Drosophila melanogaster: one gene and its partner. The protein of the gene in region 1 interacts with the protein of each later gene in a pairwise test. Each region holds a gene or a part of one and is shown on either strand. Other genes may lie near its edges. The genes, in order: ImpL1 and tmod.

Region 1 (15,601 bases):
GCTATCCACTTTATGGCGTATATTTGGCCAATTTATTGGCTAGCCTCATGGCTAACAAATTGCAAACACAATGACGATGAAAAATTATTGCGTCGTTTATTCGATTGGGGACTATGAAAAAAGTTCGCCCCCCTCTGGCTTGACTTTTTCTGCATTTATAATTGGAAATTTATAAAGGACGGATCATAAAACAAGCTCAGCTGAGGGTTTAGTCATAAAAGCCGCAAAACAGTTAAGAATAATTACGCGATGCCCTTTTAGGTTATCAATTTGATGGAAATGTATTAAACATTTAATTTGCCTAAGTGGAAGGATAAATGCGATTGTTCTCAGAACTGTGGAAAGTGTAGGAATTTTAAAAATTGATTCTTTGATACATATGTGAGTTTAAACATAATTTTGTGAACTTCAGCCAAAAACTTATTGACAAAAATACAAAAAATATATTTGCCAAAAAAAATTGTTTATTCGCCCTGCTTAACCAAGAGTAAATTCATTCCCAAAGAAATCGTTGCCAATTTCGACCATTTCCCTATGGCCAAGTTTGTGTAGCCAACTTCTTGGGGCAATCGCCGCAGATCGATGTCTGGCACTGGCTGACTGAATCTCGGTCTAGACGTCGTCTAATGACAAACGCAAACCGCAAGAGATGAAGGACATTGAAGGAAACGTTATGCAAGGCAGCCGGAGCCAAGTCAAATGGAAATGCCATGGCTCCCCGTCTGGCAGCTAGATAAATAAACTGAACTTTAAATGGATGCAGTGACCCATCGATGACTTTTCAATGGTCTTGGCTAATTCCGGCTGACCACACTGAAAAGAAAAATCGCTATCTTACAATCATGTTCGAAAGAACAGTTCTGAAAAAAAAATTAAGCAAAAATGTATTTATTAAGAAACGAGTTGAATTGTACCATCATTATTACTATACCTTTGCTTTTAAATTTCTGATTTTCAATTCTATTTTTGGTAAATAATTTGGTATTATTATTTCTTTATACGCAAATCTATGACTTATTTTTCTTTGTGTAGAAAAGATGGAGCAGTAGAGAGATATGAGGACCCTTACAACTTCTGTTGGGCACTGAGGCGAAAGAATATCTCTCGAACCGAAAATCATAAAATGCATGCAAAATAAACCGAAAAAGTGGCGCATCATCATTATTTATTCGATATTCCCCCCTTCCACTACCTTGACCACCACCTTAGACAAGAGACTCAATCAATGACGACATCGGCTTTTAAATTTGTAGGGCCAAGAGATGGCGAAGCGAAATTTGCATAGAATACCAGAAAAGAGAAAAGTAGAGCCAGACTATTGAGAAATTAATATGCAAATTTCTGATAGTAGAACTTCGCATTGTTCCCATTCAAGTGAAATTTCTCAAACCAAAAACTTTGCCTTCTCAGCTATAAAATAGAAATCGCATGCCAAAAGTGGTTTCAGTATTATTATTAAGCACGAAACATGAAGACATCTTGGAGCTTTAGTTGCGGAGGTGCGTTCCATGCGAAAATTGTGGTATACGATGTGGGTTAGGTGTAAAGGATTTTTTGGTAACAGCTAGAAATGTGAATGTAACTTAGTGAAGTGAAAACAGATCCAAAGGCAGCTCTTGCCTTCAGGAAAACCAGGCGTTAGCAAGAAATTTCTAGGGGGACAGGGTCGTCTTCTTGCCAATTTCCATCGAATGTGCTTCTAGAACTATCCATGGTTTTGGAGAATTCCACGAAGGATATACGGGTATCCCCTGCTGAGTTTGACTGGAAAAATCGCCACAAAACCCCGAGGATCTGTGCGAACGGCGCTAAGTTGGCTGTCATAATTGAGGATTAAGCCGGGTGCGCGGATATCTTGCTAGTCATAAAGCCATAAACGAGACGGGGAAATTCCCGGCGACCCGGATCCCTTAGAAAACCCGAATGAAAAGCCTGTTAACAGTTTTTGGTTTACGGCATGCAAGCGCGTGACTGGCACCCGCTAATTACCTGGACCAAATATACCTGTGCGGAGGATCTACCTGCCCACCGGATCCTTTAAAAGGACCTCACCCCCTGGTCGGGGCATCATTCACTCCTGAGACTTACAACCCGCAACACACCATGATTGACCAGCACAAGCGCAGCCACAAATCAGAGAAATCCAGTCGCAAGTCGGGAAAGAAACATTCCGACAAACCACACAAGGTGAAGACCCACGATCCGCTCAAGAAACAAAAGAAGCGGGCTCTAAAGAAGCTCCGCCGCAAGTCCGCCACCGTGAATTTCCCGTACCAACTCTTCTTGTACCGCCAAGAACTAAGGCGGGCCAGCGCCGACTTTTCCTATCTCCGGCTGTCCAAGGCCAAGATAGTGCTTACCTCCCAACTAATCGCCAAGAAGATGGGCAGCTGCAATCCCGATTGCAGCGTGGACGAGCTTAAGGAACTCAGCCGCGAGGTGCAGTTCCAGAAACGCCTCTGCCATCAAGTGGAGCGCCTGCAGCAATTCCGGCAACTGGGACTCACCGAGATGATCCTCAACGGCAAGAAGACGACGCTGTAACCTGTGGAATTATAGAGGAAAAAGTCGGATTGAGCAGGCTGTTAGGCTGGGATGGGGCATTATTATAAGTTAGTCGCTAGTGTTTAGGTTGTAATATTTTATCAAATAAAATATCACATGGAAATTGCAAAACAAAATATTTTTTTTTCAACCGATGGGGAAATGTTCTTTGTGATAATGTTATTCATTTTAAATGTCTTGCCCTTTAGTTTTGCTCCTGTGTGGGATTATGTGCTCTGGCCAGAATGTAACGAAATCAAACAATAGCCAGGACATCATCACAGTGAAGGTCTTGCCGCAGTCAATATCTTCAGATCCTTCAACTGGTTCTTCCAGCTCAACCACCGCCACACCCACAGCCACAACTCCCAAACTAAAATCCAATCCTACAGCCAAGTCCGCCATACAGGCTCACGAAATCGAGGAGGAGGACGACGACTTCCACAACGATCGTCTTCCCGCCTTATCAGAGGATGAGTACAACAACCTGAGTGAGGACGCCAATCCGCTGCACTTCCTTAAGCAACAGCCCCTGGATCTTGAAAATGTGGAGGTGAGATTCCTTCACATTTTAGAAATCTATTTTTAAACAACTGTCAAATAATATAAACAATTGTAACTCAATCTATATATGAAAACGTAAATTTTTACGTCGTGTGATGAAAGTTATATATTTGTGAAAATTAATTTATTTAATTTCTCGCGCAGGTTCCGCCAAAACCTGAAAAAACAGATGCCCTTAAATTATATACTTTATTAGTATAAATATTTATAATATGATCACAATTTTGCATTGTAAAAAAAAAATTAACTAATTCAAATATTTCATATTTTCTCCATTTCTTACACATTTTTATTTCAATACCCATAATTTATGTTCCTATTTTTTACCGAAATCCAAAAATTGTATTCAAATTTCTTTATTTTTCAGCCGCAGCAGAAGCCTGAATCTCAAACCGAGAGTAAGCCAGATCCGCAAGTGATGGCTCCACAAACCGCCGGCTCACCCATCTACATAACCATTCCCATTTACATAAGCACGGGCGGTAAGCTGCCCATTAGTTTGACCATTGGAGATCAGGATTTGTCATTGAAAAAGGAAAGCGGATCTGGATCCAGCAAGAAGAATCACTCTACCAAATCACCGAACTCGTTCTTCAATCGCTTGCTGCAGCAGATTGAGTCTCCCAAGAGACGAACCACCAATCGCCATCGCAGCCAACTCAAGAGTCACGTATATGCGATGAAGGAGATGGACAACCAGGGGAACAAGGATGGCAAGAAACTCAAGATTTTGCTTCATAGCCCAATGCAATAAACATGTTCAAACACTGATTATGGCATACAATTTATAGTTGGCAATAAATAAATGACAATAAATAGCTGAGGAATGATGTGTTGATCCTAATTTCTAGACTAGACAGCATTGCTGACAGGAGCCGAAGTCGATGGGGCAGACTCCTCCATCTTCATGGGTTCCACTGCCAGAGTCTCCTTTTCGGAAACGACAGCAGGGACCTCAACTTCCGGGATCTTTTCCGCGTTCTCACCCTCGGGCTTCTTGTTATCCTCGATTGTGGTTTCCGTTTCGGGAATAACTGTAGATGGAGTTTCCTCTTCATCGTCGTCATCGCCGATTACCTCCTCGATGGCCTGTTGGATGAAGTGTTCGAACTGCTGGAAGTACTGCAGAGCATTGTTAGCCACCTGGGCGGTGGGCAGATCGGTGGTGACCTTCTTCAGGGCATCACGAATGAGCACGAGTACGGGTTTTCGTGTTGGAGCTGCTCCAGTGGTGGCATCCACCTTCTGATCCTCGTTGGGAATTTCGGTGGCTGCCTCCTCCGAAGGTTCCTCAGTGGTCTCCGCCTCACGACGTCTCCGGATCACCGAGTCATCTTCGTCGTCGTCCTCTTCATCATCATCGTCATCCTCGTTGGTCTCCTCCTCCACCTTTTGAGCCTCATCCTCCTCTTCGTCATCGTCTTTCTCCTCACTGCTATCAGCACTGGAGTTTACAACCTGCGGATCCTGTTTTGAGACGGCTAACTCCTCAGTGGCGTTGGCTTCCGTCTCCGCCAATGGGGCTGCACCAACAGAGCACGTCAGCACGAAAAGAGCGGCTGCAATCGGAAACAGACAGATTAGCTAAGATCCACAAAAACCTAGAGATTAGCTCAGCTCACCGAGGGCCAGGTAAATGGGTCTAACCATTGTGGTAATCCTTTGCTTCCAGTTGGCTTCGTAGTGGACTTTTGCAGTTTTGCGGTCTTTATGAGCAAATCCAGCACACTGCTTTCGCTTTTTATAGCCCCTCCAAAAATGAAAGTAAATGCGAGCAAACAAGGCGATCCCAAAACGCTCCGCTCTCTGCGAGATCTGAACCCGGTCTCTGGAGCCGACTATCAGAGCGTTGTCCAGTCGCTTTTACTGCACCGAAGCTCTCTATCTTGGGTTTCTTTCCTCCCACCTCGGCCCATCTCATTTGGTTTCTTTCTTTTCGTTGAACCTCTTTTGTTTACCCGGTGGCTTACAGAAACCCCAAAGAAACCGAAATCATTTATTTAAATTTTCGGTCTTTCTGTTTTCTGGTGACTTCTTTCATAAATCTGTAAATTTGACGTCTATGGTCGCTGTGGCTTCGATCTGTTTGTCTGAAAGATTAACGCCTTTTGGCAACCGTAACGCGGCAGTCTTCGGCTGATATGCAAAATTGCTTACAAGATCACTTAGTCCCCTTATTTCTTGGGATTCGGTCAAAGCACCAATTATGTAATTAGACACGTTTGGCGTCTCGGCATCGATTTGATCGCCCACAACTAATGCATCGCAGATCGGTTAACTTTCTAATGCTAATGGGAAATTTGAAAACTTTTCCATGGAACTACGTATATAAAATAAACAAGAAGTGATCACGAGCTGGATGAGTCATCAAACTGATGGTGGTAATAACAAATGCAATTATGAATGGTTGATTAACTGATCATAAGGAATACATGATCATTAGAGAGCGGTGATCATAAGTACACGAGAGAATGTATGTATGCTGCAAACTAATATATACTTTTCATATGTCAGTCTGACGGTCAGCGAAACAGATCACTGAGGCACATTTCAGTTGAGCCCGATCTAATTAAGATCACAATCGCCATCCATGGAGGTGATCAATTGCGCAGATCAAAGATCAACAGAGATCGGCGGAATAACAGAATGACAACGCTTGATTGGACGTGGATTTCCTGCGAGCGAGTGCAGCTGCCGGCGATCGCGGTCAGAAGAACCTCATAAAATAACAACCAGATCACCGAACCTTTCCAGATTGACCCAATTTCAGAGAACCGGCTCGAGAAGCGGCCGAGCTTGGGAGGCTGGGCGTCGAATGGAGGGCATCGAAGGTGTTAAAAAAACACACACACACACAACCAGTTCCAGATCCGAGACATTCTAGATGGCTATCGCTGGGAAGGGTACGACCACAGCCACATCAGTTTGCATAAAATTTCACCAAATATAATATAGTATGAGTACCAAAAAGTTGGCGTACTTTCGTTCGGACCTCGAGACATCGCGAAGTGTAAACAAATCTCGAGAAGATGTGGAACTCTTTGAAAGAGCTGCAGTGGGAAGAAAACCGGTAAGCCCCTAAAGAATTCCCCGCCGAGTGGCTAAGACTGGTACTTAAGCACCGCTCGCCAGAAGATGCGATCAGTTGTTGTGGAGTCGAGCAGCTGACCAGATCAACATGAGGCCATACCAAGTAGTTTGCATCGTAGGTAAGTCTCGCATATCGAAGCTGACCAGTTCTGGAAGTCCCATAATTAACTGGTATGCGCCCATTTCCTTTTTAGCAGTAGCAGCTCTGCTGCTTTTGGAGGCGATTCCCGCGGATGCAAAGCGGCGCAAGCACAAGGGCTCCGATCATCACTATGAAAAGTCTGATCCCCACAAGACCAAGACAAAGACCAAGTGGTCTAGCTCCACGGATTTGGCTGGAAACACTCCAATTTCCACCGAAGAGCACGGCTACTATGTAAAGCGCACCTTTGCGGCTCCCGGTGAGATTGGAGCCGCACAGAAGCGTCTAAGTCCCCCCTATTTGGCCATTCCCATCGCCTGGTTCAGCTGTGAGTCGGGCCAGAAGAATTGCCAGTCTTCCAATTCCGCGGCTATCAACAGTGCCGCGCAGTCCTTGAGCGAGGGCTATCTGTGCGACGATGATTGCGATGAACTGTACGAGCCCATCTGCGGCAGGACCACCTCAGAGGTGGCCGTTTTCTACAACAAGTGCAAGTTGGGTGTAGCCAAGTGCCGATCCCACGGTCTTTGGACGGACTTCGCCTATGCCGAGTGCCAGGCGAAATATCCGCAGGAAACTGCCTATGCCGACAAGAAGTTCCGGTCATCGCCTTATTTCCGGGATGCGGCCATCGTGGAGCAATTGAAGCTGGAGGAGGAGAAGCGTAAGCAGGAGGAGGAACAACACAAGCTGGAGAAGGAGCAAAAGAAGAAGGAGAAGGCTGAGAAAAATAAGAACGAGAAGGACAGCAGCGAAAGCAGCGAGGAGAAGGATGACCAAAAGGAAAACAAGCAGAAGGATCCCCTTTCCCTAATGCCACAGAAGAAAGTGGAATCCACCCAGAAGCCAGTGCCAGTTCCTATTCAAGTAGCAGTTCCAAAACCAGTTTCAGTTTTGGAGCCTGCAAAGACGACCGAGGACATCGCTATGCCGCCTATGCCACTGAAGGACACTCCCACGCCCAAACCTCTGGAGATCGCGCCCCTTCACCAGCAGACCCAACCCAAGGGCAAGGACATTGATAGGCTCAAGTACCAAGTAGCTTAGAAAGCAATGGCTACACAAATCTCACCTAATTATAGTATTTATTTAATTTATTACAACAAATAAAATTCTAAACAACGATAATCATCTATATTTGATAAACAAAATGGGTTTTTTTTAAATACACGCTTTGTAGTTTAAACGTGTATTGGACTACAATTTTTATGGCTAACTTTAATGGTAACCCGACTTTTATATTGTCATAAAAATAAAAATCATAAGATCTGCTTAGCACTTTTATGTAGATATTTTATATGGGATCGAAACGCACTTTTATTTTCCCAAAGTCAGTAAGAGTGTCTTCTTAGTTCTTATGACTCCAGACCAGTTACACTATTTTTCAGATCCCTTGAGCATTTAATTACTGAAATAGGTGCATTGTACATTTACATAGCTATATCTTTGGAAAGACATTAATCGGGATCCAACATTTCTGTGACAAACTAGTATAACTCGAAGCAGATTTAGTAGCAAGGGGAAAGGTGTGTGCAAAATTTGTAATGGGAATGAATACACCTATGATTCTTAACGAACTCATTCTTGATAATTCTTTATGGCCTCTAAAGAACTTTGTGTGTTAAAGTAACGGGTATAACAACTTCAACTTTACATATATATCTTTCAATCAGATAATTTTCAAAACTTTCTTAGAGGCAAATTCACCTCTTTGTAATTAAATTGAGAAGAATTCTAAGGCGATGCAGTTGCATTGAATCAAGTGCATTGACCCCCAAAACAAGTTCTATAAACTGATTGATATCTGAAGCTTGAAAGGGCCATCATCCATTGCCAGGCACTAAACCTAAAAACTAATTGGGCGTGGGATGGACAATGCAACAGGTTGCGGCTGGGTTGCCTATAAAAGCAGCGGGATTTGTGTCACTTGTCACAGAAGTTGACCAACTGCAATGGGAGCCACTAGTGTCGGAGTTCCAGTCTGGAAGATTCAGCTACTGATTCTGCTGAGTGCAGGTGAGAATATTCTAAAAGTTGTAGCTTGTGGTATTTAGTTTTCCTCTCCTAGTTGTTCTCACCATTCAAGCTGCTCCTGTCGAGGTAACCGAAGGAGTGACCCAACCCCCAGCCGAGAAGCTGCAAACGGAGTCTCGTTCCCGTAAAGATGAAGAGCTGGAACTAGAAGAAGACCTGGATGGACGTAATGCCTATATCAACAATCAGTTTGTGCCAAGCGAACCTGCAGAAGTCCTAGAGGATGTGCAGAATACGCCGCTCTACGAGATCCTTCAAAAGCAGATGGAACAAGTGTTGGCCTCATCGGCTCCCAATGACCCTGTCTACGAGCAGCACCGCGAGAAGCAGGATCGTCGCGATCAGAAACCACCACACCAGCCACCGTACTTCTCCGGCGGAGATCGAGATGGTGATCTACAGGATGACTACGAGGACGAGGAGGATCAGACGGATCAGGGTTATCCGTCGGACCCCGAGAAACCGGACGCCGTGTCAGATGCTCCCGAGGATGAGGACCCAGGCTACCAGGCACCTTCGTTGAGCCTTCCAACCACCACCACTCGCAAACCGTACAGACGACGCAGCACAACCACTTTTCAGCCACGAACCACCAGGACAAGAACCACTGCTCAGCCCAGGATCTCGGAAAGTCCATTGAACCAAACCAGCACCACAGAGCAATCACCAAATGTGACCACCAGCACTCCACGGCCCAAGATTGGTTCCAGCACCAAACCCAAGGCAAATCCTCAGCCGGGAAACAGCCTGCCAAGTGACCCGCAGGTTTACCAGCACAAGCGTCGCATCATCTTCAAGACCATCTCAACGGGCTCGCAATTCGTCAACTCGCCAATTGGCGACCTAATGATCAAGTTCTCAATCGGATTTGCCAAGCCAACCACTCCGGGTGGAGCTACCAGCACTGCGGGTTCACATAGTTCGTCCAGTGAGGCTTTACGTGCTCTTTCGCAAAACTTAATTCGAAATTTTGAACTTCAAAAACTAAGAAGAGCCAATAAAGTGCAAAAATATTAGATATACATTATTAACGAAAACAAAACCACGGGTTTTCAATTGGATTCATGTTTTAATGTACTAACAACAATGGATTCGAAGACTTTATGAGTAGTAGCTATATTTCGAACAAAAGATATTTTTAAAACCCTCAGTTGAAGAACTTAATTCTATTCTATTACCTCAAATTCAAAAATTTCGAATTGTGTTATAGAAATTTCATGAATATTTTAATCACCACAACAGCAATTGCTTGTGCAATAAGCAAAACATTCGATTTGGAGCGAGGTCTGCTAAAATTATTCCAGCGGGAACCAATCATTGATCTCCAAATTGTTGAAAACAACTTGAGATGACGCCATAAGAATATACATAACCAAATCAGAAAATGTATTCCGTCACGTACGAGAATTTCGAGACAATGACAATAGATCCACATGTACGGTTCGTGTTTAGTAGAGTTAATACACAAAATGGAGGTGAACAGTCACAGTAACAACAACGTCATAATCCGTAAAGGAACATGGTTAGCTACCTTAGAGTAAATATAATCTAACTGCCTTGGCTATTCGGTGCCCAATCGTTGTTTTCATCGAGTCTCATAGGTTGGTTAGTTCGCTAGGCGATATGTAAGCTTCATAAAAATATATCTATGGAGGGTATTTCACCGGCGTTATGAAATTATAAATGGTTAACAATTGTACATATATACCTGTCTAAAAGGCTTTATGAGGATGGGTTTATGTTTAACACGGAATTCAATCTTGTGAGGCAGCCTTTGACATTTTTAGCTATTGAATGCAGCTAATCCTAATCCAAAACAGCATTAGCGCACGGGCCAGAATCTCTGGGCCAGGAGAGGAATGGTGACGCCGGTGACGATGCTGGAAATCAGGTTGACACTATGGTTGTCCAGGATGCGCAGTCCGCTTACGTGGCGCACTCCCTTTCCAGGTGTATCCACAATCTTGCCTTCCTCATTGATGCCCGAGAACTGCAGCAGACCACCTAGGACAGAGTCCAAAAGGGACCCAAAAAGTCCAGCGATGCCACCGAAGGCGATGATTGGCCATTGTGGTGGGCTAATCAGAAGCATTTTGGCCTCAACCGTGTAACGAACGGTGACGAAATAGCCAAAGCCGACGAGCAGACCGCCGAGCAGACTCACCGCGACGCCGAGCAACGAAACCCCACCATTGGTACCGCGCGGCACTCTGCGCCAGGTGATGATAGAAACTGGATCGCGTTGCGACAGCACGGATCCTAGTTCACTGGACCAGGTGTCGCCATTGCAACAGGCAAACGCACTCATAACGGCCACACCCAGCCAGCTGGATCGGTATTCTCGTGCGAAGTCCACCGCCCGCTCGCCACTACCGCAGTCCAGCAGATAAAGCAATGCAAGCTGGGCGGCCATGCCTCCGTTGCAGAGTACCTGTATCCAGTTTCGTTGGCCTTCGCCCTCGCGAAAATCGCTCTCGAAACGGCGTTTCATGTGCGCGCGGAACTTGGTGGCCCGCGATGAGCTGAAGAAGAACACCACCAAGCTGGCGAAGAACGGATGGCTGGCGATGGAGAGAATGAAGGCCACCAGAATGCCCAGCGCAGCTCCAGATCGGTTGACGCTCCTCCGGCGCAGAGCCACAGTCATCAGGGCCAAGGGCGCCAGTGTGGAGAAGAGCCAGCGCACCGGCGGAATCACCCGGGACTCTGTCGGATAACCTTTTGGCATTAGTTGACCCCAGGTAACGTTCGCACTGGAATCCATATAGCTCACCCTCAAAGTCACTGCTCCAGAACTTGGACAGCGCCACATTGCCCAGCCACATGAACAGCGAGATCGGCACGGACAGTCCGCAGAAGAGCACTGGCATCCAGTCACGCATCTTGACGTTTTATGGGCGCTGTTTATCGCCACTTTCTCCGGCGGGTTTTGTTTATTTATATGAGCCAGTGATGCCGTTGACTAGTGTTTGAAAATACCAAATGTTAATGTGTCAAATGTATGGCAACCTGGCTTTTAGTTCAACGAAGACTCAACCCATTCCGTTTTTAAATGAAGATTCAATTTTAAATAAATTATTTTGAAAAATAATTTTGTTTCTATGTAAAAATTGTTTATTACTTTTATTCTTATATATATTATAAATTCGAGTGTGCTCTCAGTATTTAAAATCTTGTTTAGGCATTTAAATGAATTCAAAATATCCAAATAAAGTTAATTTGAACACGATTGTTATTAAATAAACATATTTAGAGAGTAAGATCTTTACCATTTTCTTTTTAGGGGTATGAGCCATCGGAACCCCTTTGAATATTTTATAAAAATAAATATATTTAAACGAAAAAGGGTATTTACAGCAATCATTTTAATTTTAAATTGCAAAATAAAATTCATAGTGATGGATCTAAAATTGTTCAATTGCTTTTTATAAAATGCGTCATACAGTGGAGCAGATATATTTAATAATTTCACAATTTAATTATCAAGGATCGCTATTAATTATGATTGGTACATTAATTTTAACTACGTTTAATTGTATTTTAGGGAGCTTAGAAGGCTATAAAGAGTATATGCCCTCCAATCGTCGCACACGCTCATCGATCGAGTCCAATAGTTTGCTGATCTCGTCCAGCCGCGCGGAACAGGAGCACAAGTCCGACCCAGATTCGATGGACACATCCAGTACCTGCGGAATGTTCGGCTGGTTATGTGCGGCAAAGGCTACTGAACGTGTTGGTTAAAAGAAGCGCGGACTGGAGCTATGCTGTTTGAAGTCCATGCCGTGACCGAGCACCTTCTCCGGCTGCGTCGAATGTTTACTGTCGAGCACCTGAAAGTTTTCTTCCGAGAGCTGATAGGCCAGCGATTGGCGCGGATCAATGCGGATACTAAGGTCATTGGACTTGGATGTCGAACTGCCTTCGCTCTGTTTGGAGGAAACGCCACTGCTTTCGCAACTGGAGGAAGCCAGCGCAGACTTGGCTTCAAACTGCGAAGCATCATAGGTGTGTAGGTTCGACTGCCAGACCAGGAGCTGCAAGCGAAACAGAAATCAAGGAGTAAAATTATCTTCATACCTTTATTAAGAAACAGAAACTCACCTGGCGATCACTGCCACCGGTAGCAAATTTGTCGCCATCGCGACTGAATGCCACCGCATTCACCGCATCAGTGTGGCCCGTCAAAGTGTAGATGGGTCTTCCCTCCAGCAGGTCTAGGATGCGGATGGTGCGGTCGTCACTTCCGGAGAGCAGGAAGTGTCCGCTGGGATGAAAGGCCACATCGTTGACCGGCGCCGAGTGCACCACGTAAAGCTGCAACAGCTGGCTGCCGGAAACGTCAAAGATTTTGATGCGGTTACAGCCGAGGGCGACGGCCAACATATTGCCCCACGGATGCCAGGCCAGTTGCCGTGGAGCGGCTCGTTCCTCGGTGAAGGTGCGCACGCACTCGCCGCTGTCCACATCGTAGATCCTCACCGACTTGTCATCGCTGGCGGTGGCCACCAGTTTGCCATTGGGACTGAACTTGGCGCTGCGCACCCAGTTGTTTTGCTGTGCAAACGAAGACACAAACTGCCGCCTGGCAACGCGCCATATCTTCGCCGACTTGTCATCGGAGGCGGTGAGCATCAAGTGACCGGTGGAGTCGAAGTCTACGCTGCGCACCGCCTTGCTGTGGGCCACAAACTCCCCGGAAACGCCACGCAACTTGGGCTCCCAGATCTTTACGGTGCGATCGTGTCCGGCGGAGGCCACCAGGTTGCCCTTTGGCGACCAGGCCACACCGTTCACCGGCGCCGAGTGCGACGCAAAGCGAATGCAGCGGGCCGCCTGGTTGAGATTCCACAGGATCACCGTTGAGTCCGTGGACGAGGTGGCGATCTGGGCGCCATCGGGACCAAAGCGCAGCTGTGTGATGCCGCCCGAGTGGCCAGTGAAGTGGCGCTCCAGTGCCGGATCCCTGAACAGTCCTTGCATCTTGTCTTTAATTTAGACTTGTGATGGGAATTTTTGACAAATCAGTATTGCTTTGACGCTGAAGTTTAAATGAGAAAATTGCGTCGTCGATTTTTGGACGCGTTATTTGAAATGATCGGTTATCGGAATTTGAATCGCGTAGGCCCAGTGTAACCGTATTTCGATTACTGAGATATACCAAGTTGCCCGATAAATATACTGAATGACAGATGTTAAAGCGCCATCTATTGATGAAGATATACTTCATTACAGAGTAAGTTAACAGCGCCCTGACATTAAATTGGCGCCAAAGTTTTTGCATTTAAATAAACATTTATTAGAAATTATTAGAATTTATTTTAAGACTTCAAACTTCGTTTTAAAATATTAAATTTTTTAAAAGTGTTTCTAGGAATAGATGGTTTGGCTTACTATTTAAATAATCTTAAGATATGGCTTGATTTAAGCAGACTAAATCTTTAAAACTTTTAAACTAAACTTTAAAACTTTTTTCAAGCATCTATTTTTGTATTTCTATATGTACTTTATTTCTATGCATATTTCTAATGCATAGAAACCATAGAAAAATAATGTATGTCTTGATTTTTGCGCATGTCTGGTTGTTATACTATAACATAATCAAACCAAAAATCATGTATAAATCTATGTTGTCATTTTCAAACAGTGATTTCTGCAACAGGTTGCTGATGGGAACTCATCACTTCTAGGCGATCCTCGAACATATGTCTCCTGTGGGGAACAGCAGATGTATTAGACCTGAGTGGTCCCTACCTGTGCTGTCATTATCCTTTCTCCTGACCGTCGAACTCTGGGCTAGTTCATTCAACTTCAACCTGCTGCCGTTCAGTAAACTTCTCTAATGATCCTCCGCTGGGTTTTGGCCAAGTTCAATGGCTCCTTTCTGCAGCTACTGCTGCTGCTGCTATCTCTATCGGCTAATTATGCGTTCGCCAGCATGTCGGGCAATGGACCCCGGTACAGGTCTAAAAACTGACATCAAATTAAACAACGAAATGTGACAGGAGTGCAACTGTGAAAGTGCAACGGCCAAAGGAGCGGACTACAAACGAAACCACCGACCCAATCGAGAACTGCGAACTGGGCTCGAACTTTGAGAAATTAGTGTGACAAGCACACGATTTCCACCTGTAGCATGCTACTCGTAACTCGTAACTGTTCTTTGCCAAAATGCAGTTAGGACCGATACACATGTTGCAACCCCTGGCCATGTTTTTATTCCCGCAGATCGCATAGACAAAAGGTCGTTGTCGTGTGTCCCTTCCCTGAGGGGAGCCACTCCACTCCAGTCCACTCCACTCCAATCCACTCCAATCGAACTCTGGCGAGGGTTCAACAAACTGCTTTTTATCAACAAACTGTTGCACTTTCAAATAAACTAAGCTAATGTGCCAGGGGGGAAAAGTCGCCAGAACCTCAAGACCAGCCAAAATCCTTGGCCAAATAATGAAGAAGGTGCCGGTATCTTTAGGTTCGAATGTATACTCTTCTCCAGATGATATTGGTTTATTTTTCATAAGTTCATAAAGTCATTAGATTACATATAAATATTTAATTTACCTATGTTGATCTTAATATATGCTCTTCAATTTTTTAATGCATATATATGTATCAGCTACCAAGACATTAAATACATATGCCAACAATATTACTGCAAATTTTGCCAAATAGCACATGTAACCCTTTGGCAGAGTAATCTAAAAGCCGCTCGGCAAAAGTCCTGGATGCGTGGCATGTGGCTTGTGCCACAAACGAGCCGCATGATCGAACTGGGCCTAAGAACCGGGATCGGAATCGGGATCGGGAATCGGTACTTGGGAAACAGCCCGACCCCAGAGGCACCAATCAAACAGCGGACCCTCGTGCCAGCTCTGCTCGAAGCCCTCGGCTTGGCTCGTGTCATCTGTTGAATTATAAAATATGGCAAGGAATTAATTTGGCCAGCCCCTGCTGTCCTGGCCGCCAGAATCTGGCACAGCAGCAGCAGCAGCAGAAGGACCAAAGCGGCAGCAGGATAACGATCCTCGCCGATCCGAATCATCTACCGCTATGTGCAATGCTCTGTTTTGCTCTGCTCTGCTCTTATCTGCCGAGCACCTGTCGCCCTGAATCCGAGTATGAACTCAAAACCCAAACGCTTGCTCAAACTCGAATTCGAATCCCTGTGATCTGGAAAACAAAACGAAAGGTGCGCTTCAATTCTTATAATGACTCGGCTGGCTCGCGTTT
Region 2 (16,987 bases), on another chromosome or scaffold:
ACGTCAAAAAGCAGCTGCCATAGAGCTAACATATTTAGGTCACCATGGTATTCGGAATATACAATATATGTGTTCCTATGATGTTGACAGAATTGATGCTTTGCATTCCCCATAGATGTTTTTCTCTTCCAGCAGCAGCAGGTGGATTACTTGCGTGCATTTGCTGTGCCAACCCATGCTCTGCAACGGTGCGTATGATTAATTTCAGCTACAATTAATATTGCTCATACGCCAGCGAGTACGGGGCCGAAGCAACCGCAGCCTTGGGCTTTCTATAATTAGACCAATGCAGTCTGTTCTAAAGACGTTCGTTGAATCTCGAACTACTACTTTGTAGGCTGTTCCAATGGAATGCGATTCCCAGGGGAAAGTTCAGACACTTCGTACTTCACCTTGTATTACACAATCGAATGGCCCCAATTAATGCCTTGCAAGCCAATAAATTGTCACCGCAATCAACCCAACCAATTTCAATTTCCACTTGATTAATTCCCCCATCAGATTGCACCCGGCCAATTAAAATGGCCAGAATCGCTTGCAGATCTCTTCTGCAAATTAGCCCTGAAAACATTTCAAATTTGTGTAGCTCTGGTTAGAGGATTGTTTGGCTTGCGTATGCAAATTCTCACAGACTAATCTGCATGAGAATGGAATGGCTGCATTCTTAAGTGGGAAATGGGCGCCAAGTCGAGATAATTGTCGGGCAGTATAGATAGTAGCCGATAGAGATGGTTCGGCATACAATGACAGAGGGGGTCAGGGGTCAGTGGCAAAATCTAGGGCTACGTGATAAGGGCCGGTCCATAATGCTTAGTGCCCCTCTGCTTCTCTGATTTTCTCCAAGCTCTCTACAAATATTTGATTTTGTTTACATGCTCAGCCAAATCGATTTCAGGACTCGACTCCCAAAGCTCCTGCATTATTCAAGAGATTCCATTCCCACTCAGCCTGATGCAGTCGACAGCTCGCAAAAAGTGTGTGGTTCCCTGGCCTCAGTATTTTCTGGGCCAATAAATTTGATTAGAGCTGGCGTTCTTGCACCTTTCGCACCTTTCACATCAACTGAGCCAGAAAATGTGACAGCTCAGGATGAATGTCAGGGCTCTGGAGTCGAGTCTGCCGATGGGTAAATGCCATTAAGCCGCCCGAGATTGCCTGCCAAAACCAAGCTCGTTAATTCTCTTCAGACAGCAGTTGGCACAGCCCACAATCGGGTGGCTTAGATGGCCTCTTAACGCTGGTGAGGATGGTGAGCCCTTGGATCTCTGGACCTGTGACTCAAGCTGCACTCGATGCTCGAACTGCATCTGCTGCGGCGGGCGGATCAACGCCAATTCTGCCAATCTACGATGGCTGACTGAGTAATTGAAACTAATTCTCAAAGCAAACCTCTCGCCTTCGGGGTACACTGCAAGAAAACTTTTCCGAACTTTTGATACTCGCAGAGCTCACATTGGTATATGGCAATATTTAATAGTGTATTCTTCTCATTGACCAAAATAAAACAATACGTAAGTACTTTTTCTTTCAGTGCTCAGTCGCCGCACGAATTGTATTTGATTTCATAGATGATTTCATGCGAAGGTTTCTATTGCCTGCACGAGAATTTAATAAGGAATTTGACTTTAAGGCTTATAAAAGCTATTAAATTAGGCCACCGCATCTCAAAACTGGTCCGAACTACGGGCCCCAATTCGATTAGTCGCACTTTTGAAAGCCACAATTCGATTAGTCCCTAATTAAATTCGAAGGAAAAGTTCGATGAGCAGAGCGAGTTTGGCAGCCCTGAATAGCAAAAGTTGGTGGAAACATTTTGAGGATAGCAGTTGACTGAAGTTGGGTGGTCAGATACATAGATATAAAAAGTGGTGGCACGATTGGATTGGATGGCAACTTACCGATGAGTTCTCATCGCAATGGAGCAGACCGTAGAAGTCCTCGTTGGGACTGCGCTTGTAATTGATTATAGCATCAACGGCGCTCATTGCGTCAGTTATTCCTGGGATCGGTCGGGAATTTATATATGTTTTTCTGTATCGGAAGGAAGTGGCCCAAGTTCAGGGACAGCAATTAATGAAATGATATTTTAAAGAAGATACAAAGTTTGTTACTTAAACTTTACTTTCACCAGTCCACAAAGAATTTCGGGATTACTAATTCACTTTTGGTTAGCCTATTTGCACTTATCATTGGTTATATTTTCCGGAAGACTAACAAATACTGGTAACTGAGATTTTTAGGCTGAATCAAAAGGCAAACGAAGGCGATTTCGTGACCTTCGATTTGGAACAATTAGCAGCTAAAAATAAGTTAATCACAAATGCACAAAAACGAAATCGCCAAGTAATCAGCTGAATGATCTGGTTTTGTTTTGGTTTTTGGTTTGGGTTTTTCGTTTGTTTTGCCTCGGTTGGTGGAAGCACTTTCACTTGTTGTTTTTCTAGAGCTTCAACTTTTAGTAAACGGTGGGAAAAACGTTGTTTATTTATTGCAGCCCGCTCAAAATCAAATGCGCTAAACACCAACTTGACTGGCACTAGAACACTCTCAGTTTTTGTGTTGTTTTTTTTTTTAAGTAACTCGGACTCCCACTCTCTGGGAATCAGCATATATAATATATATACTTCTTGGATATATACTTTGGGATAAGCGGCGCTCACGATGTTTCTGGCAGCGCGTCGAAAGTCGAACTGATGGTTCGCCACATCACGAAACTCGCTTCGCTCGTTTTCCACTTCGGATTGGATTGGTGGAGCTTGGAGACGGGAGAAAGTTCTCTCTGGAAAGCTCCACAGCCTCCCAATCCCAGAGTGAGCTGAGCTTTTTGAGCTTTGTAAGCGGGGTTTTGAAAATACGTGTTTCTTAGAACCGCGGGGGAATCCCACAATGTGCTTTAGGGTTTACCTGTTGGCAGCGATGACTCACTATCTTTGGTACTGCGGAATCCCCTCAAGTAAGAGAAAACCAATAATCCAAGATGTTGTATCTAAAATATTTAAACTGAATACAGGAATAATGTATTAAAAGGGCTATATTGACTTTAGGCGGTGATATTTACCGTTTTCTTTCGTTCGTTCAGTTTACATTCTCTTAAAATTGAAAATTGCACTTAAAGCACTAAAGCTGTGATGGCTGTTGGTTGCTGTCCTCACAAAAGCATCCCGGCTAAAAGCCTATTGAAAAGCTTTTCAAATAGAGCTTCTGCTATAAAAAAAAACAATCGTACCATAACTTAGCAATCCTTGACCACTTGTTGATCCAACGGGCTGAGCAAAAGAAGACCATCTTCCCACTGCAGAAGAAAGTTTGTTGAATTTGTTAAAGGGAAATTAATGTTCCACCCAAAAAAGAAAACTCATCAATCTGCGGCCAGCTGCTCGACAAAACTTTTTCCCCAAATGAAGTCAAATCGAACTTCGGACGAATGCGAATCCGAACTGAAAATAACCGAACCAGAGCAGCAGAGCATTGGTTTTCAAATTAAAAGAGCCAGCCGAGTGTGAAGCGAAAGTTTGCAGCAAACGGAAACGAAATTGAAAACTGTTGCATACTTCGGGGCGGAGTAGGACCTCAAAAAGGAGGCCTAGACCTAGCACCATCCCCTGGACCACACAGAAAAGCCGCACTGGGCGAAAAATGATTTCCGTTCATAAATCATCATAATGGCGAAGCAGGACCCGGCACATGTATGTCTGGCCAGAAAAACAGGACCAGAACCAAATGAAGATGAAACCATTTGACCAGCCCACAACGGTGGGTTTTCCCGAGGGCCGAGTGGGGCAAGGCCTGCGGAAAAGTGCGCCCGTGCGCGTTTGTCCGTCACGCACACAGAGAAGAAGAGGCAACGCAACCAGCAAATCGATTGGGACAAAGTTGTCGACTGAAAGATGTTCAGTAACTGCAATATTGAATATTTACCTTTAAAGTATATTGTTATTGTTATATTGTTTCTTAATATTAATATCACACACCTAATTCTTATAATAAACATTTTGATAATCAGATTAAAGCTATTTTATTTCAGAAACAGTATACAATTTTAAGTTTATGGAGGCCTTTCGTTCCTGACAGTCAATATACCCTACTATCTCAGTGCCAACGTATGCTCACACACACACACGTGTTCTGTGCGTGTGACGTCAACAAATGGAGCTGGAACGAAATGAAACGTTTTAATTAGACAAAAGAGCAAGGCAACTATTTATTTCCATTTCTGCTTCGACTGTTCACTGTCCACAGCCCGCAGCTAGCTGCAGATACAGTTCCGACTACTGGCACAGATACAAATGCGGAATACTTAGCAAATATTCCAGTCCAACCCACTCTTTTAGCTTGCGGCATGCAGTTGATGATAAACCTTCTTGGCCAGAATAGTTGCAGCTCGCCCCCAGTACCACTCTTTTGAGAGAAGCCACTCTAAGCTTTTTTTCAACTGGAAGAAATGATATCGATATCTAAGGCTATATCCAAGTAAATACAAATTTTTATGCAGGCCTAGATCTATATGCTAAAAACCAAAGCAAATGTTATAGAATTTGAACATAGCTGTCAAGATATAAGCCATCTAATGTTTGGTTTTTTACAGTGTTCTTTTGCGGTGAGTGTTGAGACCCACTTGGATTCCGATAAGCGAACATTTTCCGCAGCATGCTTGCCAGGGCAAACATTGGCAATGGCCAAAGAATTGCTGGGAAATTGCTCATTCGCCGGGTGTGCGGGGCCAGAGATTCTTCGCCATTGCAGATTTATGCATGCCAGTAGTAGTAGTAGAAGTAGTTGGAGTAGTTGGCTACCAGATTAGAGACATTCCATTGCTTCCAGCCAAGCTGCACCTAAAAGTATGCTGTGCGAATCCCTACTGTTTGCAGTTTCCGCTTTAGTTTCCCCTGAATTGCATTCCCAACCCAGCCCATTACCAATCCATATCCAACTATCCGGGTGTTTGTCTTTTTCTACACTTTCCGGCTGCTGCTGCTAACTGCATTTCGCTTCAGTTAAAAGGAAAATCGCAAGTCAAACAAGTCGAGTGCTGGCGAATCTGAACCTTACATCGGTCGATTGCCAGCTGCTGTTCCCCGATTTCCCGCAATTTCCCAACCAGCCCTCCAACAGCTCAATTAATGGACGGCAGGCAATGAAAATTCTCCAGAAGTTGACAGAAATCGTTTTTGGGCCTTCCGCTTCTGCATGTCGAGACTGAAACTTTCTTCATTTCCCAGAATCATCTACACATGAATCTTGGCAAGGCATTTCCCTTGGTTTTATTTTCCCTCTAGGTCAGCGAGAGTCAACGACACTTGGCAAGCGGGCCGCATTCAAAGAAAACTCGTGATATAGGGAGGGAAAAGCTCGGAATGGGAGGAGTACACAAAGAAAAATATATTCAAAATCGGCAATCAATTTAATACAGCAAACTGCAGACTTGAATTTGCGCTGTGCTATTTGAAATTTATATTTTACAGTTCCAGAGAACCTATGACTCTCATATAATCTAATAACATTTTGAGATATTCCTTTTCTCTTTGTGCTAAAAACAGGCAACGTTAGCTTGTTGGATTATAATAAAAAGCACTTCATTTACTTTGTGCAATTTACAACTGTGAAATAAACAGGGAAACGCCAAGGCCAAGGAGCTCTGAAAAGTGGCTGGGAAAAGGCAATGTGGAGAGGTTCCTGTATATATGGCCGGAAAAAAAGGAAGTGCGGTCACGCCTCGGCTGCACATGTCACCCCTTTGTATCTTGTATCTTTCTGTATGTCTTTGCCGTCACCGCTTTGTTTTATTACCAGTTTGCCTCCATTCAGAGCAGTTCATCTCCATCCAGTTTGTTTTTCCTCGCCTCTGCTTGCCCTATAATTTATTTATGCATGTATTTTATTAAAGATTTCCATGGCGTCGTTCCGTTCTCATTCTCGTTGTCGTTATCGCCGCTGTCGTCATAGCAGGCCATCCCCAGTCACTTGTTGACAAAGAAATTACTTATTAATCATATTTGAGCGCTGATTTCTCGTCGCCAAAGGATCACGAGCAGCTGTGATGGGGAGCACATGTGCGTGCATCCACAGAGGGCTCCAAAAATATAGCACTTAAAACATATTCGAATAAAATGCATTAAAAGTGTGTTATAGCAAGTAAGTTAAGTATAACATAAACCGCATCTCAAAATGAAATCATACAGATATATCATTGCATATGACTGATTAATCATTATCCTTATTTACCTTAAAACCCATCCTATTTGCCTAACCCCCGCTGTTCGTGTGTGGGTGTCTGAGTGGCTTTTGATGTGTGTTATCTCATGTTATCCTTTGGCTTCCTCTGCCGTGGCTTGTCTGTCATCAGTGTGGTTTTCCACATCCAAACACACAGATGCAGAACAGGACCGTCGAGAGGGGAATACGAAGGAGTTTGCTGCTCTATTTCGTGGCTCTATTCATTACCCAGCGCCCGCAACTCCGCCCTGCCCCTGATCCCATGCCACATAATTGCATTTGCTCATCAGAGACACATCCATTGGATGTATCTATATTCAGGCATTTGTCCCGCATCATGTCGCTGCGTTTGCCGAGCTGAAAAGACATTTTCGAGAATTAATTTTAGAATATTCCGTCTTGCGTGTGCTTGGCGCTTTGTTTACACAGCGCTGCGGGGAAAACCGGGGGTCCGTTCGAAACACTTGTCTTTCATATATCTTGTGCAGTCCGCGATGCGATACAGGAAGTCCGCACATCGCTGTCAAAACTAAAGCCCCCAAATGCCAGCAATTGAAAGCGTTCGCTAATCAAAAATCTAAATCGGAATCAGCACAAAATCAGAAATCGGACAGAAGGCAGAAGGTGAAATCACTTGAGATGGGCATCTTCCGACAGATGCCCCTGCCACAAGGCACCCTGTACAGGCCCCGCTGGCTGTGATGCACTGCCTCCACTCGCACATCGAACGCTGGCCACGGCAAAGGAAAAAGGGAAAAAAACGAACGGAAAATAAAGGAAAAAAAAAGAAAAGCGCATGAAAAAGGAAAAGACGGCGTCAAATGCCGCCCGGCCAAATGGCCAGCCGGATCAGCCCAATGTATTCCACCCGATTCAGAGTTGTTTGCCCACAGAGGGTATCGATGAGATGTCTGGGCTTATTGGAAAAAAAATGTTGGAAAAAGGGAAATGCAACACGGGCTTATGGGGATAGTAAGTCCCTCTGATAGAGTGGACAAATTGGTTTGTAAATTAATTTTAAAATCTATCTAAATTCAAGTTTATAAGATATTTTTACTTCTTGAATAAACATTCTATAATTCTTATTGTAAAACTCTATTCTTACTATCAAAATCTCTTTTTTAGGTATTCCAAAGTCGGAAGATATCACTATCTTCATCCTTGGCTGCCTCTTTTTTCTGTCTATTGTTAAATCCACCCAAAATAGCTCCACGCACATTGACGAGAAGAGTGCGTGGGTCTTTGACGGGGAGTATGGAGAGTAGGGGGTATGCGGAGTAAGGGGAGTACAGACCATATGAGATGGCGAATGAGGAGTGTTGGCACTTCACGGCGGAGTTTCACATTCTGACGGGCCTCAGACGTCCGGCAGCCGCACTAATTGCATTCGCCTGGTCAAACGAAGAAATTGCAACAGGCGGACAATTAGCGAGCGAACTCATTCGCATTCAAATTTCACATTTGCTCAAAGAAAGAACAGAAATACTGCACTCAGAAAAATGGTTAACTCACTTCTTACTTCATTGCAGATATTTTGATATTTTATAGAACTCTGGAGTTCAATTTCGGAAGGATTAGGATACATGTGGGATCACAGCCTTGTACTTTTACTTTTTAACATACGAAATATTGTCAGATAGTTTCCTCTTTTTACCAAATAAAGCTTTCTAAATGTAAATCCAATTTGGTAGGATTTTCTCTCAGTGTAGAGGCACACAGTGTAGAAAAGATCGGAACGAAGGCAACAAAAAACTTTTGAAACGCGACGAAGATCAACGTTCAAAATTGAGCAGACGTCAGCAGCGGCAGCAGATCGGCAGAGAACTGAGAGTGAGAGTGGAGGAGAGAGTGTGGAGAATTGCTGGCGCTCTCCCGAGCGCTGGGGGTCTCGGGCCGTCCCGCTCGCACCTGCGGCTAACACATTGGGGGCCTCTGCCCCACTAGACCCTCCGGAACTCAGACCGTCTCGCTCTGCTCTCCGGCGTCGGTTCCGGTGGCAGACGGCAGAAGATTCTAACTAGAAGAATTAGAAGAAGCTAGGACGGAGGCAGCAAGTAGAAGACCCGTGATCGTGTAATTCGCCTCGTGTGCGTTCCGTTGTTCCGTAATTATTCCGGATTTGTTTTCGAAACAGGCTGAAGTGATGTGATGGGATTTCGATAGCTCCATCTTTCAACTTGTTTCGCTTTATCCGCCTTTTGTCACCACGGCTCTACGTTATTCCGTTGTCCCATTGTTCCGTTCTTCCGTAGTCCCATTGTTCCGTAATTCTCCGTTCTCCGTTGTTGTCGCGCCTTTCGTGGCCGCTGGTCGACGTTACGTTTTTACAGTTCGATAATCGAGCACTTCCCGAGAGGATCGAAGGCTCCAGGCATCTGCGTAAACCACGAAGGATCTACAGTACCTCTAAATATACCGCCCTTAGGTCGAAAACAAGTTACTAAAAAACCAGCGCGCCGTGAAATTCCTCTTGTTTATATAATAACCAGCGGCTGCCAAAAGCCCAGCGGAATATACAAAAAATATTCATTTTTCTAGCTCTGGTCGTTTGTATTTTTCAGGCTAAAAGAAAGAAAATAAGAAAGAAGAAAACCCAAGCAATTCTGCGTGTTATGTGTTATCGTTGTGATCAGTGATCCAGTGATCAAGTGAAAGTGAACACAAGAACGTGAGAGAAAGCCAAGTGAATCAGCTCGACTCCAATCGAAAAGGATATAAATCAGAGACAATGTCGGACATTGAGGATGTTTTCGGTGGCTCCGCCGAGGAGACCAAGCCCGAACCCGATGCCCAGAGCAAAACCAGCGTGGTCACCGAGCACACCGAGGAGGTGATTCCCGGCGAGACCGAGAAAATGGTAACGGAGACCATCGATGAGGATGGCGATGTCGTGGAGGAAACCACCGAAGTTACCCGCAAAACGGTGAAGCGCACCATGAAGATCACTGAGGTGAGTGAACTCTGACCCATGGATCCATCTAATAGCCGCCATTATCCATTAACTAACTTATTGTGCGTGTGCTGAGTACAAACATAATTCGAATAGCCATGAAAATCAATATGTATTCTGAATTTGAAAACCGTTCAAGAAGCTATAAAAATTCGGGAACTTGGGAAATTCTTAATGGAAACTATTTCCAAAAGCTTTAATGTTAAGTGCATATTCGCAATCAACTTAAAGAACAGTTCGTTAAAATTTATTAAGCATGGAAATTTTTATAAAAATATTTTCGATTCAAGTATTGTTTACCAAGCTTTTGGTGGGGGGATATATGCCGCAAAACAACATCTTGTTTTTGCATTGAATTTATATAAAAACATCGCATATTTTTGCGAAAGTAAATGACATTCCATTTTACATATTTCCGAAAATATTCTTACGGAACTACAAGTTTAAACCAAAGAATCCGCCCAAAACTGAATGATTTCCTCAATAGTTGGCCACCCCCGATCGTTTGGCTTATGAAAGACTATAAATCATTATTCTCATATTCTGAAGGGATCTTCTGCCGTACTGGTCTCCTCGCTTGTGAAATTGGCCAAAACATGGCGAACTCTGGCTATACATTATTTATACCAAGTGCCATTTCTCTATGTGCGTCTTAGCGAATTGTTTATACGGTCCCACGAATATTATAAATCTTCCCATACATTATACATCACACACACCGCGGCACAGATATAGACGGACATATAGGCGATTATATACACATATACATATGTATGTATATGTTCGGCCACACTTTCTATAGGCGACGTTGCCGGGGGAAAGCCAACAAAAAATACAAATTTTGCAGCTGTTTGATTTCGGCGCAAATTATCACAAAAGATTTCAAATGGCATGGCGTATAAAAAAAGCTGGGAATTAAATTATTATTAAGCAGAAATCACTTAAATACTCGATGCCGAGCTATGCCAAAAAATCCCCACACTCGAAGAGAAATGGCAAAAAAATTAAATGCAATAAATTCTGTGCCGCCAACAAATGCAGAGGCAAAAAAACAAGTATCAGACCAAAAAAAAAAAAAAACAAAAAAAACATCGAGAAGAAGGCGAAACAAAAAATAAATATTGAGGTTTCCGTGTCTTGCGGTCTGGCGCGCACTGGGCGAAAGTTGGGTGGTGCCGCATGGGGCGGGTGGTGCAAGTGGTGGGGCAGCAATTAATTGCCACAAATCGTTGCACAAAATTACAAATTGCATTTCCGGCTTGGCGCGGCGGCCACGCACTTCCACCCGTATTCCCCACTACCGCTACCCCACCCCAAACCCCGCAGAAAGTCTTCGATTTTCCCGCCGCTGTTTTACGACTGTCTGGCCCCCCTCGCCCCTCGCCGGGCGAAAAGCAAAACACCGCCCGTTTTTCTTTCGTCGAGTTTTATGGCAGCCAAATTAAATTTGCATTGCAATTTACTTCTTTTTGGGTCGGCCTCTCGGCCTTTTCTCGTTTTTCCGTTTTGCCGTTTTTATGGGCCCGAAATGGAAATGAAAACGCATGAGCTCAGCCAGCCGGAGTCCTGCGAATGGGGCAGGGATAAGGATGTGCTGCTGCCAGGGCATATGTTGCCATATACACAAAACAGGATCGTATGTGCCTCGCTCCGAGCAGCTTGCCGAACTAATTGCGCTGCCAAAGTCCGGTTTCCTTGCCGAAGCTCATGAACTGCTGAACTGCTGAACTGCCCAAGCCAGCTTTCCCCGCTCACTTTCTCCCGGCGGCATTTCCTGGGCGAAAGCGGCTAATGAGTCACGTACCGTTTTTGTCATTTTTATGCGCTTAACAGGTCAAAGTTCCAGCCGCAGGGATACGTGACCAAAGTCGAGTTTGAGTTGAAAATGCAAAATTAGTTAAATAAAGTCGGAGATACGCCGGGCACTTTCTCCACTCCCCATCCCCACTGCCTTTCGTTATCCTTAATTCGAGGCGAAGCGGAAAACTGTCATAAATTTCACAGTTGATTTCACCGTTGTTTCCTGATTTGATTAGCTCATTAAACGACGGTAATTTGTGCGGTGCGGGGTATGGTTCAAGCCTCTGTGTATTTGCTTATAAACTAAACAATAAATATTAAAGAGAATGACTAAATTGAATAAAATATTCATAGAATATTCATGATTGATTAGTTTCAACAAAATCGAACTCTCAATCTATTGTCACTGAAAATTCAACATCAAATACGCCCAATTTGCGATTATTAAATTATCTGATTATGCGCCATTTAATGCAAACATTATGGAAATGCACCACTATTTAATAAACACCCAAACGAGCGACTTTGCGGTCGGAAAGTTCGGCCATATTATTCCTGCCGACTGGAATGTAGTTAAGCAAATCTTTGCTCAGCTCCGCCGTTCCAATCAAATGGGGCATGCTAATTTGTGCAACAAGCCGTAAACTCACATAACCGGACACCACATCCATATTACACATGAGCCCCATGCGGAGATTGCTGGGATAATGGAATTTCCTGTGGCCTCCAACGTCCATTGTCCTGCTGTCCCGTCCAGTATTCTCTTGATTAGACATCATAATATTGAACGGAGATTAATTGGAATCCGTGAGGGGCCAGCTCAGCTCCGAACGGATTTATTGTAGTTGGTGATGTTTTCGGGGAAAACCATTCAGAGTTTTCCGCCCGATTAGCCTGGCCACGGATATTCCGCTGGTTGTCGTGGACCACAGCGATTTTCCCGATGATTTTATTGCGCTAGCTGGCATATTAAATTGTTTTGAATTTTGCCAGCGAACTCCGCAAATGCGGCCAACCACAGCGCTAATCAGCGCAGGGACAGCTGTCTCTGCACCACCCACTATCCCGTCGCCTGGACCACCGACCGCACCGCCCACCGCACCACCAGCCACTCCCACAGATCCCTGCGCCCTTCACCCCCTTTTCATTGACAGCTGTCAACGCGGTGGCGCCTCTTGAAGTCCAAACATATATTTCACTGGCAGCCACTGAAACGTGTGTTGTGTGTGTGTGACTACACTGAGATATTTTTTGATTTTAGGGTTTAAAACTTGTATTATTCGTTACTAATATATATACCATATACCGGATAGGTTTTTTACCCGAGTTGTTTAGTTTGAAAAGATCGAGAGTTATGGATGTTACCACAAATAGTGGTACTAAAAAAGGGCCACTCCCCAACGATTTCTCGCAGTGCATGGCAAAGTGTGTATTGGTTTGGTTGAAAGGCGTGACACAACAAGACGACATTTCAATGTCAGGCGTCTCTTGGCCTTTGACGCTCGCTTAGCTTCCATTCACTTGTTGCAGTTCCCAAGGAGATTTTCCCAGGTCCCACCTCCACTCCCTCGGAAAAGAGAGGAGAAGCCCACACCCACCTCCAAATTTCGAGTACATTTGGTCAGTTATTTATGCGCTTCGCTTTCATTTCGGTTCGCTTCGCCTCGTTCGCGGTTCTGTGTTTTATTTATTTGTGCCTTGGCTGTTCAAACAATTTATAATTTTAATGCACACACTGGCCCCGCCACTGAGCACTGAACACTGAATACAATCGAAATATGTTTATATAATTGAAAAGCAAACGTTTTGCGTGAAAACATAAGGCGAATATGTGCGGCGTATATGCTACAGCATTCATGCTGGGGTATATAAATAAAGCTGCCAAATTGTGTACACGGGGCGTATGATGAACGTGCCATTTATTTTGCCGAGCGGTTTGCCTTCTCTCTCGCTCCGCTCGCGCTGTCTCACTCTGGCGAAAATCCGCCTTATGACTGGCATATATTTCATTTAATTTTCAAACACTTTGCCCTTCTATTTATTTATCCAGATCAAATCGAAAACCGCTCCTTCGAATCCAATTCTTTGACCTGCCGCAACGGAAATTTGCCCATTGCTCAGCGTCTTGAAATCCCCTGGATTTCGGATTTGGATTTTGCAGAGCGTTACATCTCCGCCAGAACAACAAACAAATAATTTCATTGCCTGCCATAGGCTTCCGCCAACTTTGGCCGGATATTCTATTGAGAATTTATTTCAATTACATTGGGGCGCGCCGCAAAAATCTCGACAAATAAAATTCATTTACAAAATGTTTTGCGTAGTTTTCTCGGCTCTGAGCTCCGAGACAGAAGGGAAAAAAGGGGGTCGAAAGAAGGTTGTAGAAGAGCTCTGTCTATTTGCAATTGGATGAGGAAATTGTGCAGATTTTCCTGAGCTCTTCTAGAGTTTCCAAAGCCCGAAATGCAAATGAAAATAAGCCAATTAGTTGGAAATTGGCCGAACTTAAGGGATCACTTTGATTAAACAGAAGCAACGGCCTCAGGTTATTAGCATTTCGCTAAAATTAATACAGTAACAGTACGAACGCAATTGGCAAATTAGTTCAGCTGAACAAACGTTTGTCTAACCCAATTCAACAATAAATTACCAACAGCCCGACGACTGCAAACTGACATTTGCTTGTTTACACAGAATCATCTTGCGTTTTCTATTTTCCATTTTCCATTTTCTATTTTCCACTTTCCCCCTTTCAAACGCACGCAGATAAATAATCCCCATAAATTACTATTTCCACTTGATGATGACCAAACGAGCCACTGACCCCTAAAATCCGCTCCATAATTCCATATGCCGAAAATTGACATTTGGCCATGTTCTCAATTGACTTGTTTTTCAATGGTGCAGTGCAGAAAATCTATTCATTCGGTCTATCCATTTGTGACTATCCCGCCCTTAGGCTCAATTTCTACATTTCAGGTGGTTTATACAAATATGAAACAGTTTTGGAATTCACGATTATCAGGGGTACTTACCCATTTTGAATAAATATTTGCATTGTTCAATGCGCTTGAATGAAATGGGGAAAATTCAATATGTAATTAGACATATTGTTAATTCTTCAAAGGATTTTCTGAGAACTCACCCACCCATCGGCATTAAGTTCAACTTTTTAAATTAATTCAGCTCTCGCATTTGTTTTTCCATCGTGAACCATATTTTTCGTGCTGCAAATTAACGAATGTAATTACTGCAGTCTGGCTGCAATTTGCGGTTAATGCGCCCATTAATATTGAAACGAAAAGCGGCACCGGCTTTAATTGCGGCCAAGTGGCCATAAGTTCGAGTTAAGAGGCCTCCTGCAGAATCGGCCACTTGGCCCTGACAATGGATGCCATTTCCATTTCCGCTCGTCGGAAAAATGAGGAGGAATTTACGTGAATGTGAAAGGCGCGCGAGGAATATTAGCGAGAATGCCAGGAATTTGTCAACGGCGAGAAATCGAAAGTTAACCCCACTCTGGTCTATGTAAATATATATATATATATAGAGCAGTATTATAGTATCGAAACAGCAGATACTCGACGTCAATTGGCACTTTGATTGCATTTCGATGCAGTTTCCGACTTGAATTTGCGCTTGCATTCGGTTAGTTGCATCGCAAAAGCCACAAAACAAAGCAGCGCGCATCGCGAGCCAATCGAACCAACCGAAACTATTGATTTATATAGATCTAGCCCAGCCAGAATGGAATGGATTGGAATGGTTTAGATTGACCAGTCTAGCAGTCAATCAGCCAAATAAATAGATTAGTTTCGTATCCCTCCCCCGATTTTCGTGACGTGCGATCTTCTGGACATCCGCGTGTGTGTGTGCGTGTGTGCCAGTGAGATCCAAAATCTATATATACCATATATAGCTTCCCATTCAGCGCAACACTGAGATATTTCAATTGAATTTCTGCGCAATAGCCAAGATTGCCCCACACAAGATAATTTCTGTTTTGGCAAAAGCGGATTAGACCCCCAGTTACCCCCCTTCGGTTCCCCCCACCGCCGGGGCATCAATAGAAAACCACCCAATAGAAGCCATCAGCAAGCCAAGCAGTCATCATGGCCATCACAGACGATGCGGTAAGTCGATCCCCGGGGGGCACAAAAACGGAACTCGAGAGGTCCATTGTTGCCAGGGATTTATTTGAATGTGCTCGTCCATGCAGTTTTCATTAGAAATTTGAGGCTCCGAAGGTGCACCTATTGTTGTTGATGTCCGTTCGGTGTTCAATTGAAATTAGGGACCAAAACCAAGGACATACTATAGAACTAAAGCTTGAATGATGAATTTAAACATGTTGGTTTTAAAGACTTAACCCCTTGGAAAACCTATTATGTATAAATATACTCGCATTTCAGTCCTCCTTTTTACCACTGCTGTTTCTGTTATGAATCACTTTTTAATAGGCCACCTCTTCAATCACTCCCACCCGATTTGGTTAGAGGACGAGTTAATCTCATAAATTACCTTTTCAGTTACTCAGCTTCACAGCTTCACCGCTCGTGTCCTTAAAGTTTTCCCACTCAATCATTCGATCAAATTGTGTGCCACACTTTCAATGGTCAGTTGGCCAGTCTCCGCCACTCAACAAATTAAAACCGCTCGGGGGTGAGAAAATCCATCGACTTAGCTAACTGTGCCGCACGAACAATGCCCCCAAACAATTTCCTCCAACAAATTTTCCATTTTCCAAAAAACAACCTAGCGAGCGGCTGAAAACTTTTCCCTTGCCTTGCTGTTCTTGCTGCTGTATGTTTTCTTTCCTGCGCTTGCCACTTAGGTGCGAAAATCACTTGTCAATCTTTTATGTAAAGAAGTCGCCGTCGTCGGTGCTTTTGTCACCTGCACCGCCCTGCGCCACCTGCCACGCCCCTCCGCTCATCGTCGCCTCTCGTTTCGGTTGCTTGGCTCGTAAAATTTTGTCGTCTGCTTCCGTTTTCTTCGCACTTAATTGTGTCTGATCTGCACTGCAAGAAACACTTTTGAATTGAAAAATAGTGTTCAAGTCTAACTACAAAGCAGATCATCTGAAAGAGAAAGAGAGTGAAATATACCTTAAGTTCAATTACTAACTCTTAAGCATGCTACTCTAGCCAAGCCCAAGTTTTTTTTTTTCAGTGTAACTTTGGCAGGCGTTGTGCGTGCGGCGTTGTATCGTGTTGTTCGTGGCGTTGTTGTGGTTCAAGGTGATTCGACATCGACAACGACGCTTCGACGCATCTTTCAATCAGATATCCTCCGATTTTTCCCGCCCCCTTTTTCCGCACCGCCCGACCCCGGGGGGCAACCCGTTGGGTTTCCCACTGCCAAGGACTCCGCTTCGGTCGCCCGCTTTTCTGGCTGCCTTTTTCCTCTTTTGCTTGCCTTGGCTTTGGTCTGTTTATTTTGGCTGCGGGTTGTTTTCTGCCATCGTATTTTTCACTTAATAAAATTGTTTTCATTCGGTTCGACCGATGCCTTAACTTAACCGCTTCTTCTTGCCTTTTCAATATGTTTAAAAATAAACGACGACTGCCGCCCCCTTTCCCGCTCGGAGTTTTCCTTTATTACTTGTACGCTTAGCTGCTATCGACACACTTCTTTATCTGCCGTCGGCCATTGTTGCCTCAACCGCCCCCTGCCCCGCCCCTTTGGCCCATCATCTTGATGTTTGTGCTTTGTGTTGGCTTATTAGCAATTTGGCTAAGCAGTTTGCGGTCTCCTTCGCAGAGGATCGCTTAGGCAGCTCGGAAAAACGCTGGAAGAAATATTCAAAAATATATAAAAGCGGTGAAAAAATTCCTTTTTAAATTAATATTAAATATTATGAACAGTATATTACTATTATTTATTTTTTTATTGTTTTCATTTTAGCAGATTTTAATATGAATATTTTTTCCTTCATACTTCATACTTGCTGATGACGTGACTTGCAAATATTTATATCTAACCTTGCAGTTTCTGTGCAGTTTTTCCGACTTTTCCTCGAAT

What was found.
Region 2: the proteins of ImpL1 (region 1) and tmod interact in a two-hybrid assay, tested with the Drosophila melanogaster proteins (one large-scale study listed by BioGRID).

Annotation. Positions count from the first base shown.
Region 1 is NT_037436.4:13,376,519-13,392,119, forward strand, and holds ImpL1 (Ecdysone-inducible gene L1), read left to right. Parts: upstream 1-6,251; 5' UTR 6,252-6,286; coding exon 6,287-7,387; 3' UTR 7,388-7,481; downstream 7,482-15,601. Other genes in the region: CG14111 (uncharacterized protein), read left to right, coding at 1,469-1,499, 2,754-3,097, 3,476-3,862; SNCF (SoxNeuro Co-Factor), read left to right, coding at 2,104-2,544; CG14107 (uncharacterized protein), read right to left, coding at 3,961-4,667, 4,731-4,758; CG14110 (uncharacterized protein), read left to right, coding at 8,293-8,356, 8,409-9,391; CG10171 (uncharacterized protein), read right to left, coding at 10,197-11,092, 11,148-11,256; Poc1 (proteome of centrioles 1), read right to left, coding at 11,932-12,060, 12,205-12,408, 12,476-13,354.
Region 2 is NT_033777.3:30,524,345-30,541,331, forward strand, and holds the start of tmod (tropomodulin), read left to right. Parts: upstream 1-8,492; 5' UTR 8,493-8,638; exon of another isoform or gene 8,639-8,751; 5' UTR 8,752-8,941; coding exon 8,942-9,163; intron 9,164-14,614; exon of another isoform or gene 14,615-15,075; coding exon of another isoform or gene 15,076-15,096; intron 15,097-16,987. Other genes in the region: jdp, read right to left, coding at 1,899-1,985.